Linked DNA regions of Saccharomyces cerevisiae S288C. Changing the gene in region 4 together with the main gene of any one other region gives a genetic interaction. Each region holds a gene or a part of one and is shown on either strand. Other genes may lie near its edges.

Region 1 (5,556 bases), on a different chromosome or scaffold from region 4:
AAAAGAGCATTCTACGTACCTGAAAAATGCTGCAAATGGTAATGGTGTCGATCGTCATTTCTTCGGTCTAAAGAATATGCTAAAATCTAATGATGACCAAATTCCGCCCCTTTTCAAAGATCCCTTATTTAATTATTCTTCAACTTGGTTGATCTCCACATCTCAACTATCTTCGGAATATTTTGACGGTTATGGTTGGTCTCAAGTAAATGACAACGGGTTTGGACTGGCATACATGTTGAATAACGAGTGGCTGCATATCAATATTGTCAACAAACCAGCCAAGAGTGGAGCCAGTGTTAACAGATTACACTATTATTTATCTCAAGCTGCTGATGAAATTTTTGACGCCTTGGAAAATGAGAATAAACGAAAAGCAAAGTTATGAATTTTTCACCTTTCCTCTTCAATTAATTTGTGAATATTTTTGTTAAGTATCTACACTTACATACGTATAAATAGGGGAGAAAAAAGGGCTTACGAATACATACTGATCATTACTATCTATTTCTGCACCTAGTTTCATTATGCAATTTAAAACAACTTACAGAACAAATCTTATTTCCACAATTAACGCAACTTGAAATACTATCGTAGCCACCGCAAATAGAGCATGTCGTAATTAGGGGTAACACTTTGAAGTATCGTTTATTGTAAACATTGTGGTAAATGACATTCTTATCCATCAAGTTTAGCAGCGCAGAATCTAAAAACGAATGTAAATTTCTTTTTGAACTTAAAACCTTCTTTAACGCCACAATACGATTGGTATTCTTCCTCTTTGGTTTAGGTAGTTTTGTAGATTTATACGATAATTGTATTTCCCGTAAGGTTTCTGGTTTAAGCACCCAACCATGACCATACTTGGAATGCTCTTTTACAAAAGAAGAACCACCCATTAATGCAGAGAGACCATCCGAGGTCTGTGAGATCGGTTTGGTTGTTGATTCAATTCTATCTCGTGGTACGCCTGTGAGATCACTTAATAAAGTCGGTACATTTGGTAAATCCGAGAAATTTTCTGTGTTAAGTTCCATAAACCTCCTGTCCGACTGGAGAATCTCTTGTTGTGTGTACCTTTCTTCAAATGAATGGGAATTCTTACTATTTCGGTCATCCTGTCTGCTTATACTATTGCCATCTCCCTCAGATCTCGAAGTATATAACCTGGCCTCTAAATCTGCCAGTGAGTAGTTTATGCGCTTTACGGGCCTAGAGGTGGATATTGTGCCTTGCTTATTAATCTTCTTTGAAGTATATCGACGTGCTTGAGGATCCAATGACGTGAAATATATGTCAGGATTGTAAGTTTTCTTATCAATCTCTTCAACTAGCGCCTTCATTTCGCTGTTATGAGTAAGCGATCCGTTCTTTTTCTTCGATCTATCAATGATATCGACGTTACTATAGATTGAAAGGGCCGCTTCGACTTTTGTTAATACTCACAAAGATCATCATGTTCATTATAAAAAAAGTAGTTATTAATTATCTATTACCCGGATCAAAGTTATTTCTACAGAACACAAATATTTTATTGATTGCTTCGTTACATAAAGCAACGACTAAATAAATATAAGCTCTCTAGCTATTCCACCGACTTCACTTCCTTAATGAATGGTCGTTTTTGTAATACTCCAAAAAAAATATCAAAAAAAGGGGCGAGCTGGGAATTGAACCCAGGGCCTCTCGCATGCTTTGTCTTCCTGTTTAATCAGGAAGTCGCCCAAAGCGAGAATCATACCACTAGACCACACGCCCTTGTGAACTTGTGAATCTTAGCCACTAAGGAATCACCGAATAGTAAAAGTTTTCTGACAACTACAATATTAAGCCCTTAACAACAATAATGAATATTGAGTGCATAATGTTGAAATGGAACTCTAAAATATCATTTGTTTAGTAGTATTCGTGTTACTAGTTGTTGGAATAGAAATCAACTATCATCTACTAACTAGTATTTACATTACTAGTATATTATCATATACGGTGTTAGAAGATGACGCAAATGATGAGAAATAGTCATCTAAATTAGTGGAAGCTGAAACGCAAGGATTGATAATGTAATAGGATCAATGAATATAAACATATAAAACGGAATGAGGAATAATCGTAATATTAGTATGTAGAAATATAGATTCCATTTTGAGGATTCCTATATCCTCGAGGAGAACTTCTAGTATATTCTGTATACCTAATATTATAGCCTTTATCAACAATGGAATCCCAACAATTATCTCAACATTCACATATTTCTCATGGTAGCGCCTGTGCTTCGGTTACTTCTAAGGAAGTCCACACAAATCAAGATCCGTTAGACGTTTCAGCTTCCAAAACAGAAGAATGTGAGAAGGCTTCCACTAAGGCTAACTCTCAACAGACAACAACACCTGCTTCATCAGCTGTTCCAGAGAACCCCCATCATGCCTCTCCTCAACCTGCTTCAGTACCACCTCCACAGAATGGGCCGTACCCACAGCAGTGCATGATGACCCAAAACCAAGCCAATCCATCTGGTTGGTCATTTTACGGACACCCATCTATGATTCCGTATACACCTTATCAAATGTCGCCTATGTACTTTCCACCTGGGCCACAATCACAGTTTCCGCAGTATCCATCATCAGTTGGAACGCCTCTGAGCACTCCATCACCTGAGTCAGGTAATACATTTACTGATTCATCCTCAGCGGACTCTGATATGACATCCACTAAAAAATATGTCAGACCACCACCAATGTTAACCTCACCTAATGACTTTCCAAATTGGGTTAAAACATACATCAAATTTTTACAAAACTCGAATCTCGGTGGTATTATTCCGACAGTAAACGGAAAACCCGTACGTCAGATCACTGATGATGAACTCACCTTCTTGTATAACACTTTTCAAATATTTGCTCCCTCTCAATTCCTACCTACCTGGGTCAAAGACATCCTATCCGTTGATTATACGGATATCATGAAAATTCTTTCCAAAAGTATTGAAAAAATGCAATCTGATACCCAAGAGGCAAACGACATTGTGACCCTGGCAAATTTGCAATATAATGGCAGTACACCTGCAGATGCATTTGAAACAAAAGTCACAAACATTATCGACAGACTGAACAATAATGGCATTCATATCAATAACAAGGTCGCATGCCAATTAATTATGAGAGGTCTATCTGGCGAATATAAATTTTTACGCTACACACGTCATCGACATCTAAATATGACAGTCGCTGAACTGTTCTTAGATATCCATGCTATTTATGAAGAACAACAGGGATCGAGAAACAGCAAACCTAATTACAGGAGAAATCTGAGTGATGAGAAGAATGATTCTCGCAGCTATACGAATACAACCAAACCCAAAGTTATAGCTCGGAATCCTCAAAAAACAAATAATTCGAAATCGAAAACAGCCAGGGCTCACAATGTATCCACATCTAATAACTCTCCCAGCACGGACAACGATTCCATCAGTAAATCAACTACTGAACCGATTCAATTGAACAATAAGCACGACCTTCACCTTAGGCCAGGAACTTACTGAATCTACGGTAAATCACACTAATCATTCTGATGATGAACTCCCTGGACACCTCCTTCTCGATTCAGGAGCATCACGAACCCTTATAAGATCTGCTCATCACATACACTCAGCATCATCTAATCCTGACATAAACGTAGTTGATGCTCAAAAAAGAAATATACCAATTAACGCTATTGGTGACCTACAATTTCACTTCCAGGACAACACCAAAACATCAATAAAGGTATTGCACACTCCTAACATAGCCTATGACTTACTCAGTTTGAATGAATTGGCTGCAGTAGATATCACAGCATGCTTTACCAAAAACGTCTTAGAACGATCTGACGGCACTGTACTTGCACCTATCGTAAAATATGGAGACTTTTACTGGGTATCTAAAAAGTACTTGCTTCCATCAAATATCTCCGTACCCACCATCAATAATGTCCATACAAGTGAAAGTACACGCAAATATCCTTATCCTTTCATTCATCGAATGCTTGCACATGCCAATGCACAGACAATTCGATACTCACTTAAAAATAACACCATCACGTATTTTAACGAATCAGATGTCGACAGGTCTAGTGCTATTGACTATCAATGTCCTGATTGTTTAATCGGCAAAAGCACCAAACACAGACATATCAAAGGTTCACGACTAAAATACCAAAATTCATACGAACCCTTTCAATACCTACATACTGACATATTTGGTCCAGTTCACAACCTACCAAAAAGTGCACCATCCTATTTCATCTCATTTACTGATGAGACAACAAAATTCCGTTGGGTTTATCCATTACACGACCGTCGCGAGGACTCTATCCTCGATGTTTTTACTACGATACTAGCTTTTATTAAGAACCAGTTTCAGGCCAGTGTCTTGGTTATACAAATGGACCGTGGTTCTGAGTATACTAACAGAACTCTCCATAAATTCCTTGAAAAAAATGGTATAACTCCATGCTATACAACCACAGCGGATTCCCGAGCACATGGAGTCGCTGAACGGCTCAACCGTACCTTATTAGATGACTGCCGTACTCAACTGCAATGTAGTGGTTTACCGAACCATTTATGGTTCTCTGCAATCGAATTTTCTACTATTGTGAGAAATTCACTAGCTTCACCTAAAAGCAAAAAATCTGCAAGACAACATGCTGGCTTGGCAGGACTTGATATCAGTACTTTGTTACCTTTCGGTCAACCTGTTATCGTCAATGATCACAACCCTAACTCCAAAATACATCCTCGTGGCATCCCAGGCTACGCTCTACATCCGTCTCGAAACTCTTATGGATATATCATCTATCTTCCATCCTTAAAGAAGACAGTAGATACAACTAACTATGTTATTCTTCAGGGCAAGGAATCCAGATTAGATCAATTCAATTACGACGCACTCACTTTCGATGAAGACTTAAACCGTTTAACTGCTTCATATCAATCGTTCATTGCGTCAAATGAGATCCAACAATCCGATGATCTTAACATAGAATCTGACCATGACTTCCAATCTGACATCGAACTACATCCTGAGCAACCGAGAAATGTCCTTTCAAAAGCTGTGAGTCCAACCGATTCCACACCTCCGTCAACTCATACTGAAGATTCGAAACGTGTTTCTAAAACCAATATTCGCGCACCCAGAGAAGTTGACCCCAACATATCTGAATCTAATATTCTTCCATCAAAGAAGAGATCTAGCACCCCCCAAATTTCCAATATCGAGAGTACCGGTTCGGGTGGTATGCATAAATTAAATGTTCCTTTACTTGCTCCCATGTCCCAATCTAACACACATGAGTCGTCGCACGCCAGTAAATCTAAAGATTTCAGACACTCAGACTCGTACAGTGAAAATGAGACTAATCATACAAACGTACCAATATCCAGTACGGGTGGTACCAACAACAAAACTGTTCCGCAGATAAGTGACCAAGAGACTGAGAAAAGGATTATACACCGTTCACCTTCAATCGATGCTTCTCCACCGGAAAATAATTCATCGCACAATATTGTTCCTATCAAAA
Region 2 (6,094 bases), on a different chromosome or scaffold from region 4:
AAAATAGGTGTAGGCTATTTTTTATGAAACAGTTAAATAATTTTAAAAGATCCGTTAAGGATCCATCGAAACTTATACTTAGGGAACCTTATACGATTGTAGAATATTCAGATTCTACTCATGCATCGGAAATACTAAAAAAAAAAGTGTACTTTTATGACGTTTTCTCTGAACTAATAAAAGACAATCGGACACTTACTGACACTACACAGTCATTCAGGCGAAAATTGAAATTTAGAGATATTTCCCAATTAAGAGGCGACATCAGTCTATGGAGGACCATTTCTAAAAAATTCAACGTACCAATCGGCTTGTTAAAGGAAATTTTTGAGAAATATATTGCCTCATACTACATATTTCTTCATTCACTGAACGAGAACGTGCACACGGCGCTGCATGCTGACCAGTATCCAAAATCCTTATTAAGTGATGACGAGGACGATTTCGATCTTGGGCCAGATTCGAATTCTGGGTCGGATTTTGAGGAGGACGATGATGATGCTTGTATTGTTTGTCGCAAGACAAATGATCCAAAAAGAACAATTTTATGTGATTCATGTGACAAACCATTCCATATATATTGTTTATCACCACCTTTGGAACGTGTTCCCTCTGGCGATTGGATTTGTAACACTTGTATCGTCGGAAACGGATATTACGGATTCACTCAGGACACGCATGACTATTCTCTACCAGAGTTTCAAGAATATTGTAAACGTCAAAATTCAAGGTTATTACCAGCACGAAAACTGTCTATAGATGAGTTGGAAGAGATGTTTTGGAGCTTAGTGACCAAGAATCGTCGCAGTTCATTAACGACAGTTAAATACGGTGCTGACATACATAACGAATTGCCAGGTCAAATTACCGGCTTTCCGACGAGAGAATTTATACCCAAAAATATAAATGGGGACGAATTGATAGACTACCTCAAATATTGCGATCATCCTATGAATTTAACTAACTTGCCTATGGCTCATAATTCGCTATTACCGTTATTTAAAAGAAATATTTCTGGCATGACTATTCCTTGGATTTACATAGGCTCCTTATTTTCCACATTTTGTTGGCATATGGAAGATCAGTATACCCTAAGTGCTAACTATCAACATGAAGGTGACCCTAAGGTCTGGTACAGCATTCCCGAATCGGGATGTACGAAATTCAACGATCTATTAAATGATATGTCACCAGACTTATTTATCAAACAACCAGACCTACTGCATCAGCTAGTGACTTTAATATCTCCGTACGATCCAAATTTCAAGAAATCAGGTATTCCTGTGTACAAAGCTGTGCAAAAGCCCAACGAATATATTATCACGTTTCCTAAATGTTACCATGCTGGTTTTAATACAGGTTATAATTTTAATGAAGCTGTCAATTTTACTATAGATTTCTGGCTACCATATGGATTTGGTGCGATTACGGATTATAAATTAACTCAGAAAGCATGTGTTTTTGATATGTTTGATTTAATGATCAATGTTTTGGACAAGTACAATAAAGATACTCTATTGTTCAATGATGCTTTTGTTAGGCAATGTTACTCTTCATTGATCGTCTTTTATAATACTGAATTAAAACGCATACGGAAAATTCAGGCCATTGTACCACGGACAACTCTTTTGGAGGTGCATACTGATCCAAACGATGAAGATGAGGAATACGATATATTTTGTTCCCAATGTAAGACTATATGTTCAATAGCCTTTGTATTGCGAAAGAATAACTATGATTCAATTAGAACGTATAAAAGACACAAGAAAAACCATTTAAGTATTAGGCAGTGGAATGAACTATCCACGACGGACAGTAAAGTGAGTATCCTGTGTACGCAGGATTACTTAAAATCAATACAAAACTTGAACAATAGCGACGGTGAAGAACCTTATATTGACGATGAATTGTATTTCACTAAGTCTTTGAAGGATATTGACTCTTTAATAAAGCAAGTTGGTGTTAAGTTAGATAGATAGTCTTCAATATTTGTGTATGGCGTAATGATTTTTTAGAATAATACTTGGCATTTAGCACGCCACTTTTAGCGCGAAAACACCAAAAAAGTAAAGAAAATAATGTCGATCAATCTTTAAAGAGAGACAATTGAATGGTAGTGTAACAATTTACAACATAATAGAGTATCGCATTCAGCAAAAGTAAAGAATAAATTCTAAGAAAATGGCTCAAGCCTTGAACTCCACCAATATTGCTTTTTTCAGAGTAGCATTTTTATTCACGATCGCCTTCTTTTGTTTAAAGAACGTTAATTCTATTTTGCAAAATACATATTTCATAGTCTTAACGCAAGCGATGAATTTACCGCAGTTAACACTGTCACGTTATAGTGGTCAATTGGGTCTTTTCGCTCTTCTGTTTACTCTTAACGGTGTTCATGATCTAATTCCCCTGTTAGAAAACAATGTTAAATACTTCCAATCTGTTGTGCCAGTTAGATTACTAATTTTTTTTATTTTGACAAGTATCTCGTACCTTTGGGAGTCAAACTTTTACGTTCACAATAACTCTGTTTTTATTTACTGTTTTGCAGAAGTTTGGATAAATTTTCTTTTGTATAATGCCATTAGGGAGGAGAAAAATGAAGAGTTCAAAAGATTGAACCAATTCATGGTTAATGATGAGGATATTGAAGAACCCCAACCATTTACCGTGAAGACTGAAACCACAGAAATCATTGAAATAATCAATGATGAAGAAAATGACGATGAAGATGGGAAAGATAATGATGATAACAATGAGAAAGGTAATGATGATAGCGATGCAAAAAAATAAAATGTTTAATCGTTTATTTTTTCTTTCCTTTATTCTTATAGTAGATACCTGTGTATGTATGTAGATATAGACATAACGAAGCTGAATTTAACGGTACATGCTAATATGTGTACTCTATAGATTAGTTTTTCTTCTTTTCACTAACATAGTCTAGAGCGGTCAATCTTTCAGCTAGAGTTGGATGGGAATAATGATAGCTAGAATACAGAGGATCTACATTCATGGTGGAAAGGTTTTTGATTTGTAGATCAATTAGAGCCCTACATAGATTTTGCTTGTAGCCCAATTTTTTAGCATAAGCATCAGCTTGATATTCATGAGTTCTGGAAATTAAACTCATCACGAATTGCATGGCACATTCGAGTGGAGTTAATAAGTCGTTAAATAACATAAATCCAATGATAATGGGGAATTCCTTAGTGATAACGGGATCAACAAAACTGCCAGTGGACTTCTCTAAGAAAAAGCCGAAGGTGTTGTAAAATGATGTATTTCTGTAGATGCTGGTGAAAAGGGAGAAAATGAGGAAGGTGTGCAATTGACTAAAGATGACCATATTAACGATGTGGTTTTTTTGCCAGTGACCGATTTCATGGGCCAAAACAGCCGTAATTTCATCAGTAGAATTACTGTTCACTAAAGTGTCGAACAAAACAATTCTCTTGGAGGTGAATGGCAAACCTGTGAAATATGCGTTTGAATGAGAAGATCTTTTTGAGCCGTCAATGACAAAAATCTTATCTAGAGGGAACCCAACTCTATCGGCCAAACTTTCAATAGATTTTTTCAGTTCACCGTCCTCCAATGGAGTGAACTTATTAAACATGGGCATGATGAAGACTGGAATGATTGTCATGGCTAAGATTTGGACAACGAACAAGAAGACCATAATGTACCAAAGGAAATCAGTAGGGAATTTATCAAAGATCTTAAGGAACAGGTAAAGGATTGGGCCACCAATAGCATACGCCAAAGTCAGACTCTTGATCATATCGGTGATCCATAGTTGGACGGTCAATTTATTGAAACCAAATTTTTCTTCCAGGACAAAATGGCTATAGTAAGAGAGTGGCAAATCAACCAAGGTAGACAAACTGGATAAGAGACCCAAGAAGCATAAACTCTGTGCGACAGTGGAGACCATATGAAATCTGACTGGCAGGACTGCATTCAATAAAGAAACGGCCATGTGCCAGATTTTAGGGAAGAGGTCGTATTTGATGAAAACTAGCTTTTGGGCTAGGTTATAGACGTCACCGAAAATGGAGAACTTGGCCTTGGCCCGGGAGTAGTTCCTTGATTTATGAAAAGTTTCATCATCAATTTCGTCTTCCAGCACAGGTGGCAACTTTGTTTCAGATAGCTTCTGGTACTGTCTGTACGTCAAGTAAGATTCGAAAGAAAATTGGGCAATCGAGAACCCAGAAATGATTAATTTCCACGGGATATTAGGATGGTCGAGAATCGTCTTAAGATCAAACATGAATAAAGGCCTGCAGTTTTCTATTTCCTCCTTTTTTTTCCTTCCTTTTCCTGTTAATTATAGAAGTGGTTTATAATTCGCGAACTTTTTCTCTTGTTCGTTGTCTTTTTTTTTTTATTTCCCGTCGATTTTTTTCTGGAGAAAATGGCAGAACAGAGACGAAGGAATTAGAGTTTTTGAGTAAATGACGTAGAAAAAGAGGGAAAAGTTTAATTGCCTCTTTTTGGTTAATAGGAATGAATATACAAGTTTACATATATGTATATTTGTATGTATGTATGTAGATGTATGTGTGTGTGTGTGTAAGGCGTTTCGTTGTTGAAGATAGAAAAAAAGGTAGGTTTAGTCTAGCTTCGACGTTGGGGCTGGTTTTGCAAGTTTCTTGGCGATTCTAATCATCTTCTTGAACCAAAGCACGTTCAAAAGGTTCATGAAAATGTTCAGCGACATCATCGTGACAGCAGAAAACTTGGGTAACTCGTCTCTTACCTTCCACATCTGCCTGAATAAGAGAGCGGATGCGATGGAGCCCCAGCAAATCCTGACGACGAAAAACACAGTCATGAGCAAAAGGCCATTGACGACATTAAACCACAGAGGGATAGAGTTCTTGCTCTTGGCGTTACATTGCATGATGAACCAATTGATGTTCACAAAGGGAGTGGAGGCCTCGTAGATAAGGAACCTGCCGATCCAGGGTTGGCAGAACGGTCTTAAGGACAACAGCATCACATATACGGAGCCAATGGCGTGGCCCGTGAACTCGAGACCATAAAGCTTGAAGTAACGCACGCACATAGTCAAGTCCCAGATAAAGTACCCTGCGCTGAGGGAAGATACCATTGAACTGTACGAATCTGTGTAGGTGACAACATTATAATGCATTGGCGTCGTGAGGGTGGGCAACAGGACGGTGTTCGAGACGACAGCCTGGATCATCGAGACGGTGTGGACATTGAAATCAATTTTCAGCAGTGGGTCACGGATCGTGGTGTAGTGCTTGCGAAAGACCACTTTATTCAAGAACGGTGCGACAACGGAGAATGCGAGCTGGTAGAAGACGAAGCTGAAGATGATCTCATGCAAATGAGCCAGTATTAAATTAGACGAATGAGGGAAGAAGGACAGCTTTTCGAAGGGGCTGGTGAGGCCGATTGCTGTCGTGGTAGAGTTGGCGTTCATTGCGGCAAGAGCGATAGCTTAAAAATATTGTTTTTTTTTTCTCTTTTATTAAACTATGTTTTATACTGTTATGTTGCGTTGAGTTATGTCAAAATATTATGTTGCCTTGTATGTTTTTGGACCCGACAAAAACACAGGCTGAAAAGAAACACGTATGTATGTATATGTATATAAACATATGTGTGCATATATAAGTGCACGTATAGAAATAATATGCGATAAAAGTCTATTGTTCCTGGCTCATAAAACCTAGGAACTGAACGAGTTTTTTTCTTTGGTGATTCTGGCGTGATTCAACATTCGTATGCGATGACGGGCAGATCCGCGTCGTAAAAATGTTCTTAAGAAAGGAAAAGGGGAAAATGCATGCTAATCACATAATGCTAATGGGCCGGATGTTATTAGTGAGAGGAGAAGAGTCGCTGGATGCTGGGGAAGCGGAATGAGCTTCTGCAGTAGAAGAACCATCGGCAGCGTCACACAGTACTACCTCGCTGTCGATTTCGTCTATTTCGTCGAGGATCCTGTCCAGCATATTGGCGTGGCCCACCATTTTTCGTAGATCAAGTTCTCTGTGGTGGTGTCGAGTAAGGGCGCACTGAGACAGCTTGGAACGTATCTTGCTTATGTATAAGT
Region 3 (6,550 bases), on a different chromosome or scaffold from region 4:
GATAGAAAATGCAATGACTATGTTATGAATGTATATATAGCACATAAAGAGGATCGCTTACGTGAATTTGGGAATAATTAAAACGTTCTTTTAGCTGCGGCTGCTCGTCGATAGGAGTGATAACAAATTAAGAATTAGAAGGGATGTCTTTTTTTTCTACCAGCAAGTTGCCACGCGCTTCAGACTTTAGAAGAGGTAGTAGCAATCCCTTCGAATGAGGTTCGATTATATCTCTCACCATTCCACGATTTATCACGGAAATACCATTCAAAAATAAATAAGGCGACTGAATGGATTCCAAGGCAGCACTAGTATCGATATTTAGTTTATTTTGTTTGATATACTTTTCTAATTCATAGCCATGAGAGTGTTTTTCCAAATCAACAGTGGCCAATTCGGGTGAAATCTCAAATTCTCTTTGTAATAGATTTTTTAAGAAAATGGAGTCTGCTTGTGATGATTTAATGAATAATACCGCTGGAGAGGTTCTTATTATATCTAGAAAATCTGTTCTAGGGTCGAATTTTTTGTGATCGCAGTTTTTCTGCAAGGCCAGAGAAGATGACCGTGGATTTAGTGTTGTTGTGGTCGTCGCCGTCACGACATTATCAGTTTGGAACGATCTTGAAGAAAATTTTGATGTAGCTTTGGATGAGGGTTCTGGGATGTCGACTTCAACCTCGCTTTGAATATTTGAAATTTCTTCTTTGACTTTTTGGAAATTTAGTTCATTTTCATTACTTAGAAAACTGTCTGCTGTCTTTAATAAGTTTGGCAACTTGTAAACGAACTTCTTTTCACTTTCTTCCTCACTATTTTTTTTGTTTTCGCTAGGGTCAGCAGAGTTGTAGAATTCCAAGGAGTCATTCCATGTAAGTAGTAAGAAGCTAAATACGCCAAGCAAAACGAGTGTTAGCGATATTATTCTCGTACTTCTCTTGATTGCTGTGTGCTTTTTCAAAACTGATGAATCCGCTATCATCTTTAACTGTTATTTTCCTTTTTTTAATTGCTCTTTACTGTTCTTGGAACAAGAGATTATGAAGTCTATAAAAGAACATATATATAAGTATTTAAGAGATAAGCCTGATTCAAAGACGTTTGCAAGTTTCAGTCACTTGGCCTTAACAATCTTTATATATTAATCCCTTTAGTACCTGCACAATTAAGGCCGAGACAGACTCGAAACAACCCCAAAACTTCTTGATCTTTATTAGCTGATGCCAAATTTTTTGGTACCACACTGAAACGAACTTCGTAAATCCATTATTTGTGTATTTTCTTAACGAGAAGTGCCTAAAAACTGCCTTTTATGCGCTGTCTTCTGAGAATAGATCCCGTTCAAGGCAAGCGCCGGGCAAGCGGAGGCGCAGTCTACAGAACAATCCGCACAAGGAAAAAAGCACCCGAGATCTGGGACCCTCACCTAATCATTTATCGTTATCCACGACAGGGTGCGGTGATTGCTGTGTATTAATGAGTGGTTTCAAAGCCCTATCCCGCAGTCGTTTGGCACTCTGCAGGGCCTCAATCATTTTATCCTTCCTCTCGAGCATCTTCTGTAATTCGATCACTTCAGTGCCGTCACACCCAGTTAGCGACATTGCAGTATGACCACTTTTTTCTAGCGCCATGATCTTGTCTTCAAGTTTTTGAGTGTATTTCCTATATTGCCTTATTTGTGATTCCAAACCTTGGAACTTTGTTTCCAAAAGGGTGCCGACCTCAAAGGGAAGCATTTCTACAATTTCCATAATCTCAGAATCTTGCAAATCAACCACATCTTTATCTAGTAGTTTTTCACAATTCTCTAGTTTATATTTTAATACTCGATTCTCCGCTCTCATTAGAGCCAAATTCGGATCACCATCATTGCCGGTGGCTTTAATGTCTTTATAAGTACTTTCATTGGAAGATTTGGTTAAGGGCTCGCCAATGTTTGAACGGTTCTTCAATTCAGAGATCATCCTACGTTGTTCTTCCAATTGGCGTCTCAGTAGCTCAATGGTGCGATCTTTATCTCCATCGTTATTCCCGTTACTGATGATGGATTTTTTGGATACATGAAGTGCGACGTTTTTCGCTCTTGATGCAAACCTCAGCGTATTCATAGTTTCCGCTGCCGCATCATTTCTGGTGTCGACTGTACATATCGTTGTCACTATGCTGTCACCGCTTAGTGCCGGCTGCAATAATCTAGTCAATTTAGAATCACGATATGGAATGTGGTTGCTTGGGCTAGTGCCGTTATTGGTAGCATTTCCACTACTGCTGCTACTGCCACTTGCAGATGGCGAGGGAATGTTTGAGCCTACTGAGTTCATCTTGTCGGCACTGAGTTTGGATATCACAGTCCCCAAAGCAAGTAAGGATTTGTTGATGAATGAACCTTCCTTTCTCCTCTCTTGTTGCCCCGTAGCCCTTTCCGAACCTGCTAGGTCACACAACGACAATGTACTCGATCTTGAGGTGCCGTTCTTTACGTTAGTACTTGTTAAACGAATCAGTACAATGGCATGAGATCGTGAGCTTCTTGCATTGTAGTCAGTTTCGCCAATTTTCCTACTTTTGTCACCAACTGCAATCCACCTCAATAATTCTTCACTACTTTCACATCTTCTTTCGGTGAGACCGATAACTTTGACCCCATACTGAGAGTCATCTCTGATTTTTAATTCTACGCCCAATCCATTGCTGTTGCTCTTGCTCATATATAACCTTGAAGGAGTACTGATTCTACTACCGGATTCTTCTAATCCGCTTTCTAACAGGTCGTAAATCCTTTCATTGTAAATTTCGAGGTACGATATTATAACGTCGAACTTTTTATCGCCATTCATTGATTGTTCCATGATATTGGTAAATAAATACGACACAGATAAAGGAATTAGGCCTAGCTCTTGTTCATTTCCGCTCATTGTAAACGTTTTACCTGACCCGGTCATACCGTACGCAAATATGGTGGCATTAAACCCCATCAATAACTTATCAATCATTGGTTTACTGGTTCTTTCATAAACTTCCAAATTAGTGCAATGGGAAGCAAAAACATGATCGAACTTGAACTCTCCAATTTCTTCATGCACTATTGTTTTGTCATTAGTAATAAACCAGGGGTCTCTAACAAATGTATTGCTACCGTGATGTGAGTTGGATCTTGGTTGAGAGTACCTGGGCGATTTTAGCCCCACATGGTCACGGGAAGTTCCAACGCTCCGTGGTTTCGGCCGGATGGTCACAGTGATTGACCCAGTATATGTATCGTTTTTTCTCGAGTTGTTGTTAATACTGTCGCTCCGCCTGATCCTTATCCTACCTGGGTGAAGGAAGGGATCGGATTTGGCTGATACGGATCTTAGTGGGGAGTTACTTCTAGTGGAAGATGCAGAAATCGACTGAGAACCCGAATTAGAGGTGCTCCGTATGGAGTTTCTTGTCAGATTAGAAAACGATGAAGTTGATCGTACAGAGGGCGATTGTGGGATATTACTTGAACCAGAACTAGACCTCGTTGATGGCCTCCTTAAGCTTGGGCTCATTTTTTGAATCATCAATGGTGGTATTATGGTAAGAATTTTATCAAGTGTTCTATGTTTGCCTTGATTTCAAATGTTTCTAGAGCGCAGCCTGTGAATCTCTGCAGCCTATTTCTTTTTATTTTTCGCTTCTGCTTACATTGCTTTATTATCAATTGTTCCGCTATTGGAAAAGGATAAACAAGGAAATTCTCGAGCCGCATCATCGGGCTACCCGCATATAATGACATTATGGGCAGCAGCATAGAACAATGGATTCTAAAACTGAGGACAAGATGGTTTGTCTTGTTTTTTTTTTTTAAATATACTATAGTTTTTTTTATTGTTATCTACTTATAAAAGCTCTCTAGATGGCAGAAAAGGATAGGGCGGAGAAGTAAGAAAAGTTTAGCTCAAATTGCTTTGGCCAAACCAACCGCATTGTTGCCCAAATCGTAAATAGAATAGTATTTACGCAAGAAGGCATCACCAACGATGGCCAGTGGGCCAACAGGTTCTGGGAAATCCATTGGTGTAATTGCAGAGATACAGGAGCCTGAAACTTCAAGCGTGTAATCGTATGGCCCAATAGTGAAGTTGTAGCCATTGAAGTTGAAAATTAGATCAGGTAGATTGTCTCTGGTGTTACAGTCTAGAGTATATTGACCGGTCCAACCCTTCTTGGCCCCAATTTCAGCATTAATCATTTCAGCTAATCCTGATGGCAAGGTAATCAAAGAAGTACCAGTATCGATGGCGGCACCATGGCTCTCCAATTCGGCGTACTCGTCGCCTAAACCGATACCTTCAAACTTGACTTCCCAGTAAGCCTTACGACGAACAGGTAACCAAGTGATATCGCCCTTGAACTTAGACTCGTCAATACCACCAAAGGTGGCTTCACCGCCATTTTCAGTATCCTTTGAAGTGTCTCCCAAATAAAAGGCAAATCTCTTTTCGTCCAACAAATCTTGTTGAATGGCGTTGTAAAATGGAGGGACCACCTTATCAACAGAAATGGTATCGTAACCCAAACCCAAAATACCATCGAACTTGCCAAATGCAAATGTTAAGCCCGGCTCGCTGGTAGCCTCAGCGAAGTCTTGTTTTGGAATGGTCAAATCCCCGATGGACAAAGTGTCTTGAGAAATGTAACCTTCCAAAGAACCAGTACCATATTGAATGGCAAATTCAGTACCATTAGCTTTGTAGCTTGATGAAGCTTCATGATCGTATTTAGAATGTAGGAAACAAGCCAAGGAACCACATTCGTTACTTGGAACCCAAAGGTTTGAAGAACCAGTATCCAAAATAACCTTGAAGTTTTGAGGTGGAGTACCCAAAGTAATGTCAGTGTAATATTGTGCGTTCAAGTAATTTGTCAATGGAACATCGTGACCACCTTCAGTGAAGAAAGGATGCTCCCTAGAAAAAACAACTTCGGGGTTAGCTTTCTCAAATTGAGTCAAGTACTTTTGGCCTAAATGAGCTAAATGTTGCTCGAAAGTGACTTCTTTCATCTCATCGGACAACTCGTGTTTATAAATTTTAGCCTTGTGGACTTTTGCAGCAACTTGGTTGGCGCTGACCAACAACAAGGCCAATGGCAATAATGCTTTCAAGCTGAACATGTTAGTTTTGGTTTTTGTTTGAATTTTATTTGGATTAAATACTAGGTCACTAGGCTTTTTTTTTTTCTTTTCTTATAGAATTCTAATAGAAAAAACTTTTTATGAATACAGTAGGGTGAGATATACTTTTTGTTATTCTTCCCTTACGTGGTAGGCTTCTCAAATAAAAATAGAAAAGACCACTAAAATTTGATTATAAAGGCTTCGCTCAAAAAAGAAGAAGGTGGAATGAATAAATAGCAGCGAATTACCCAAACTTCTTTACTCTGTTCCCTTAACCAGTTGATAAGAGGTTACGAAGTACGGAAGTATGGCTTTTTATATAAATCCTAAAAAGGGCCGCCTCCGCCCCTTAATCCATCGACACCCGCAAATGAAATATAGTACCCGGAAGGCATAAGACGGGTTACAGCCTCTCCATAGATTCAATAACCGCTTTTGGTTATAGAAATAATCAGACCTCAGCAAATACAATTGAGGAGCTCAAGATATTGAAAACGGATTAACAAACTTTTTAAAATTATTTATGAGCTTGTTGTACCACATCAAGCAGGATTATGTTTTTTTCAGAACTTCTTTTTCTGATTCAAAAATTCATTAAGCATAACTAAAACTGAAAATCAAAACTTATTAATATACAAAAATCTATATATTTCAAAATGTAAATCGTATCAAAACGTCACTCTATATGTAATAAAAACCCAAAAAGTTATGAATAGATGAATTCTGAGTATTGGTATCTACCATCTTCTCTCTTAAAAAGGGGCAGCATTTTCTATGGGTATTTGTCCTTGGTTACGAAAATTGCAAATTCTCGGGGCCTTTTGAGGTTTGGTCCAATTTTGCCCTTTTAACCTTCTTACTAGGATCAATTTGTGATTGCGATAAACTTACCGAATGTATTCTCTTCAAAATGTTCCCCGTATTCGCATTAATCGGTGACTCTACCAAGTCGTTTAGTACCGAATTATTGCCGTTATTATTTGTATCGCTAACTGGCGGCTTCTTAGCCGACATTGATGAAGAAGAAGCCGAGGGTTGATTTGCACGTTGAGCTGCCATCATCTGGGTTAACTTTTTCACCAAATCTTTTTCTTCGGCTGTTTGCTTAAGTACTACTCTTTGTTCTTGTAACATACCTAATCCCTCGTTAAACAGACCTGTAGTATCGTTAATTTCCACTTTAAAGCCAATGACAAATTTATTGTTTTTATCCCAAATGATCTTGATTTCATCTCCGTCTTGTAAAAGGAATTTCGTACCCTGTATCATGCGGTTATTATTTAAATAGCTCACGTTAGTTCCGGTGTGGCAATACCAAATATCATCTAAACCTTGTGCCGGAGATTCATACATGCTTTTGCCTACAGCATGCCTCTTTTTGAAAATGAAGCAATGAACTCG
Region 4 (5,113 bases):
AAATTCATTGACAGCCATTGTAGTCCTTGTTCTTTACCCACGTTTTGTTTTTGTTCTTGCGTTTTTACTGCCACTGAAAATATAGCGTTGTAATGGCTTTAGATTTTACTTTTTTTTATCATAATTCTTGTTCAGAACGTTCGTTATTGATATCACAAAATTATTTACATGATTAGACATTAAAAACATAAAACAGTACACATAGGGTTTACTATTCTAAACTATAGTTATCTTCTCTCTTATTCTTCAGAACCAGCCTATACTTTGGTTTTTTTTCATTTTTTCTACTCTCTTGGCATACTTCGAACCCTTCTTGGAAGCAATCAACTCATCTACCTTCTTTAAAGCTTCTTCACGTTTTTTTAGCTTTTCGTTTAATTTCAATTCATGCTTATGACCCTTGGGCAAGAGAACACCTTTCATGAGGGTCTTTTTATTGTATTTCTCCTCGAAGAAAAGTTTCTTAGTGTTTTCGATCGGTGGTAAAAACTCTTCTACTCCATAACGCAGTGCCAACTTATATACGTCACTCATTCTTCTAAGTGAATATTTCGGATCATGAAATCGTTGTGTGACCGGATGTTTATTTGGCAGGAAAGGATTGGCATTAATGGCTTTAGTAGATGTAGACACTGGAGAATACTTGATTGAAGGGGGGTATCTTTGGAAAAAGGACTTCAATTTCAAAGGCAAACTATCAAAATACTGTTTGTATGACATGGAGTTTAGTTTAATGCACTAGTTGGTTTTCCTATTCTGTATAAATGGTTCACTTTATTTCGTATTTCACTTGCTCTTCCACTTTCACTTGTATCCCAGTCATTTTTTTTTTTTGTTTGAGAAAAAAGGAATATAAAAAGGCGCTACTATAAAGTACTTAATGATACTATAATTTAGAAGATTGACTTGATAAGACCGTTGTGTACCACCAGTCGATGGCTAGGGAGGATTCTAGACTCGAAACCATTTCCCACAATTGTTGAAGTAGCTTTTTGTTATGTGTATTGATTAGCTGGAGACAGATGTTCAACCAGCCGATCAAATGATGAGGATTGTTGATAAAGGCTATTTGTACAATCAGACATTCAATCAATACATTCTTCTTTTCTGGGTTTTTTACATTAACAATTCTGATATACGTCTCGTGCAAAGAGTCCCTAAGCAAATGCTTGTTATAATTATGTAGTGAGGGAAGTTGTGTGGATAGATGGCCGAATATAAGTAAAATTTGATTTGCGGACAATTTACCTGCAATAAATTGGTCCATCGACATCTTTAAATAGACGAGTATGCGGGATACTTGCCATTGTGCAACCTGTGAGGAATAAGAGGAGTCTATAGACAGTACAGTGATTGTCAATGTGTGTATAGATTCTTTGATTTCAATATCCAAGGTATTGCCCGTCTTCCCGCTAAAAAATACATCGAAATGCAGTAAAGGTTCGATAAACTCAGTAATAAACGGCAAACGAATGCGACACCCATAGTAATTAGTAATTTTGTTTAGAAAATTGATGTAAAACACTAATTTATTTGGATCTTGTTTGGTGTTGTTTCTTTTCATTAGTTCCAAAACTGTAGTGATTTTAGACAAGTCATCCATGACAATGAAATACGTTACTAAATTATCGTAAACATAATCGTAACTGGGAAAACCGACTGTCCCGATTTTTTGAGTCAATACGTGGACGTGGAAAAGGCTTAAACAGATCATAGAATAAAAAGTGTCTTTATGGTTAGGCAGTATTGTCATATTCATGGCGGATAATTCTTTTAACGCGAGGATTATCAGGATAAATACATTTTGGAACTTGAAATCTAGTTGTTGTTCTTTCAACGAAGCCACAGTATCGGACAAGTATCGACATATCCTTTCTAGTTTGCGTACTGAATTTACCAAAGTTGCCTCATTTGACCTCGTGATTGAACTGGTCAAGCAACTGGCCAAATGATTCAAGTTGGTTGATAAGACTGAATCAGTCGAAAAAATTTCCATCGGCTGCACAATGCCGTGTACATACTCTTCCAAAAGGTCCAATAGTTTCTCTGTGACCAAATTCCATGATACGTCAACTCCATGCAAAAGGGCGCTTCGGTTTGACTGATTAAAAAGTAAAGCTAATGCTATCAGAAGGCAATGCTGAATCGATAAATTAGCCCTGACAATGGCAGTATTCCATAGCTGCGCCCATATTGGTGAAAACAGTTGTAATTTCCAGTTTCTGTAATAAAGCGCAGTTTTGTTGCTGGATTCATCAATAAAATAGGCGTTGTTCAATTGTTTGAAGCTCGGGTATGTGACTAGTACACCATCCAAAACCATCAACTGTGAAAGGTTCCACGTGGCTCGGTGAGATTCGAAAACAGCATTCCAAACCAAGTAAAACTTCGAAATTGGGAGCGTGGGCTCAGAAACTTCCAGTTTCCAAAGGAAAACATCTTTGACGATGTGCAAAAGGCGTAGTGGTGGTAATTGGACAATGAACTGCGATCGGAAAAGTGCTCCGACCAAGCGATACAAAGTGTCGGGGGATTTGACTCTTGGGACGTAGTATACCACATTGGCCGCGATTTCGTCTAGCAGGCGTTGATCATACTGGATCCTCGTTTCGGAAGAGAGTGCAGTGATCAGATATTCGACGTCATGATCAAACATAATGTCCTAATGCCCTCTGTAAGTGCGGTTTTGCGCGCATACATGCGTATTCATATTTCCCTTTTGCATTTGTCTTCTTCGGTTTTCCTGGTAGAATTTCCCTTAATGGGAGAGTAGTAACAATGCAAAAAATGAAGAAAATTGAGAAAAAACAAAAAAGAAAAAAAAAAAAAAAAAAAAAAAGAGAGCTATGTAGGTTGATTGTGTTGTTCTATGTAGTGCCCTTTATTTTTCTTTGGATTTAAATTTACAGACACATTATATCTTGAGGTTTTTAGTCCCTTCTTGAGCCTGCTTCAAGTCTTGCCTTCTCTGAACGTCCCAGTTATACAATCGCGCGCAATTGACCTCCATTGTCGTGATATTTTCCCTCAAAAACTCTACGTCCTCGGTGGACACCGTTAAAGACTGTTCGGAATCCGCGAGTTTCTTCTTTAACAACTCTATGGCCTCGTCGATGGGATATTCCAGCATCACGTCTGCGCCAAGCCACAACCCAACTTTCAAATCCGCCCGATCTTCCGGTATATCAACCTGAGCCTTTGTGTAGAGCGTGTCGTTCAATTGGTAGTGCAACAGGATAGGTTCATCGCTCTCATCGCCCTCGTCGCTGTGATTGCGCAGACTTTGGCATATTTTTAATGTGTTTTCCAAGTCCGGGATTCTAGTCTTCAGCTGCTTTATCGTAGCCAATTTAGATTCCTGCATAAATTTGTACTTAGAAAGCCGTTCTTGGAACTTATTGAAGCACAATTCGAAGTCGCTTGGGTCCTTAATTATTTCGTTGACATTTTCGATGAATGGAGCCTGCGGTATGCCTCTGGCATTCTTTTCCGTGGAGTTGAACAGTGTGTCCATAATAACCGTAGTATCTGTTATATATGTGCGTACAGTTTTCTGCAGTAAATGTTGTCTACAATTTATAGCCTCTACAATAGTGTTAAACTAGATTTTTTCACTTTCTTTTCTGACCAGTTCTGCAAAATGATCGAAGAAACGAAACAAATCATGTGTTACCCGTCCTGCACAATCATGAGTGCCTGCGGTTTCCATATTGGAACGGCACCTTCCTTTTTTGGAAGTCACGTTCCTGCAGCGCGTTTCTTTTTTTTTTTTTTTTTTTTTTTTATTTTTCGGTTTTTTTCGCACGTTTCTTTTTGGTGAGCGAGAAAGCTCGTTGCCTCCTAATATAAAGGATGAGATGAGATGAGCAGTGCCGCAAATGAGGGATGTGTTTATTTGTTCATTGTCGTTTTGCGATTATCTTCGTTTTCATGTGTTAACTCATTCATTCATTCATTTACTCGTTCACGCACACGCAGCAGTTATTCCCTCGACGAGCGTTCACTTGTATCATATAGCATAGTTTACGTAGCAATGAATAAAAGCAGCAAGGCATTTCAGGTACCGAATAAGGTCATCACCAAGGAGGATATTACTCCCTTGTCCAGATCGCACACAAAGAAAGCGGACACTCGCGGGACAGCAGATGGTAAAAACACCACAGCCAGTGCAGTCGAGGCCACCCCAATCATCATCACCACTGCTCGTTCGATAGATACTGCCGGTTCACTATCTGAGAACGCCACCGAGGACGATGGCACCCAAAACGGAGATTTACACGATGATGACGATGATGACGACCTCGAAAGTACGCTCGGCTATAGTTCTGAGCCTGATCCTCTCTTCTCCCCATGCCACCAGCCTTCCTTCACCAACAGCACATTTAGTTACAGTGCGGACAATGAACTACCCATGGAGGAAAATCACAACAAGAATAATTTCCACGATAGCAGCGAGAGCAGTATCTTTCTACCACAGATACAGCAATCATTCTTTTTCGGCGACAATAGCAAGAGTGACGCAAATAATACGGACTTCTGGAAGGAAGTAAATGGCACTGCAGAAGAGGCCATTTGCCTGCAGGAGACAAGACAAAGAAAATGCTCCCTCGTGGCTCTGCATCCAGGCGACGCCACCACGAGTTCGAACGACACATTGGGAATAGAGGACTTCATCAAAGATGATATCAACAGTGCTGAAGCCATGGAACCCTCCCCATCTTCATCACCATCTTCCTCCCTTCTTGATAATTTGGACTACAATATCAAGTTATTGTGCTACAGAGACAATGAGGGCAAGTTCACCTTGAAAAAAAGGAAGTTTTTGAAGAATTCCCTGCGCTCATCCTCTGCAATTTCTAAAAAGTGGAAACCCTTGTCTAAAAGAGATAAGCTGTTGAAGAGGGCCATAAGAAGAAAGAGTGGTGTTTGCCAGACGTTATCAGCTGGTTTTGGTATCGGTGAATTCATGTTGTAATAACAGTACTATTAACAGTACAATAAATAGATTCTTTTTATACAGTGTTAGGGTAACTTGTTTTTGTAGGATTTGAAAAATATGTCATTATAAGATCTATATCTTTTACTATTTGGACAAGTTGGCTAATTTGATAGG

What was found.
Region 1: mutations in PAC10 (region 4) and VPS71 together harm fitness more than expected from each alone (negative genetic interaction), as found in Saccharomyces cerevisiae (5 studies listed by BioGRID, with this or other methods).
Region 2: mutations in PAC10 (region 4) and STE24 together harm fitness more than expected from each alone (negative genetic interaction), as found in Saccharomyces cerevisiae (5 studies listed by BioGRID, with this or other methods).
Region 3: mutations in PAC10 (region 4) and KIP2 together harm fitness more than expected from each alone (negative genetic interaction), as found in Saccharomyces cerevisiae (5 studies listed by BioGRID, with this or other methods).

The regions. Positions count from the first base shown.
Region 1 is NC_001145.3:194,413-199,968, forward strand, and holds VPS71 (Vps71p), read right to left. Parts: upstream 1,344-5,556; coding exon 501-1,343; downstream 1-500. Other genes in the region: carnitine O-acetyltransferase CAT2, read left to right, coding at 1-388; YML040W (gag protein), read left to right, coding at 2,216-3,538. UniProt on the Saccharomyces cerevisiae protein: Participates in the catalytic exchange of histone H2A for the H2A variant HZT1, an euchromatin-specific factor, leading to chromatin remodeling and changes in transcription of targeted genes. Indirectly involved in vacuolar protein sorting.
Region 2 is NC_001142.9:640,189-646,282, reverse strand, and holds STE24 (zinc metalloprotease), read right to left. Parts: upstream 4,277-6,094; coding exon 2,915-4,276; downstream 1-2,914. Other genes in the region: JHD2 (histone demethylase), read left to right, coding at 1-1,979; ILM1 (Ilm1p), read left to right, coding at 2,182-2,793; TDA4 (Tda4p), read right to left, coding at 4,619-5,458; YJR115W (uncharacterized protein), read right to left, coding at 5,832-6,094. UniProt on the Saccharomyces cerevisiae protein: Proteolytically removes the C-terminal three residues of farnesylated A-factor mating pheromone. Also acts to cleave the N-terminal extension of the pheromone. Does not act on Ras.
Region 3 is NC_001148.4:255,786-262,335, forward strand, and holds KIP2 (Kip2p), read right to left. Parts: upstream 3,552-6,550; coding exon 1,431-3,551; downstream 1-1,430. Other genes in the region: pheromone-regulated protein PRM4, read right to left, coding at 128-982; PEP4 (proteinase A), read right to left, coding at 3,929-5,146; serine/threonine/tyrosine protein kinase RAD53, read right to left, coding at 5,942-6,550. UniProt on the Saccharomyces cerevisiae protein: Required for assembly of the mitotic spindle.
Region 4 is NC_001139.9:636,858-641,970, forward strand, and holds PAC10 (tubulin-binding prefolding complex subunit PAC10), read right to left. Parts: upstream 3,515-5,113; coding exon 2,915-3,514; downstream 1-2,914. Other genes in the region: U4/U6-U5 snRNP complex subunit PRP38, read right to left, coding at 1-18; mitochondrial 54S ribosomal protein mL59 MRPL25, read right to left, coding at 247-720; PEX8 (Pex8p), read right to left, coding at 887-2,656; YGR079W (uncharacterized protein), read left to right, coding at 3,863-4,975. UniProt on the Saccharomyces cerevisiae protein: Binds specifically to cytosolic chaperonin (c-CPN) and transfers target proteins to it. Binds to nascent polypeptide chain and promotes folding in an environment in which there are many competing pathways for nonnative proteins.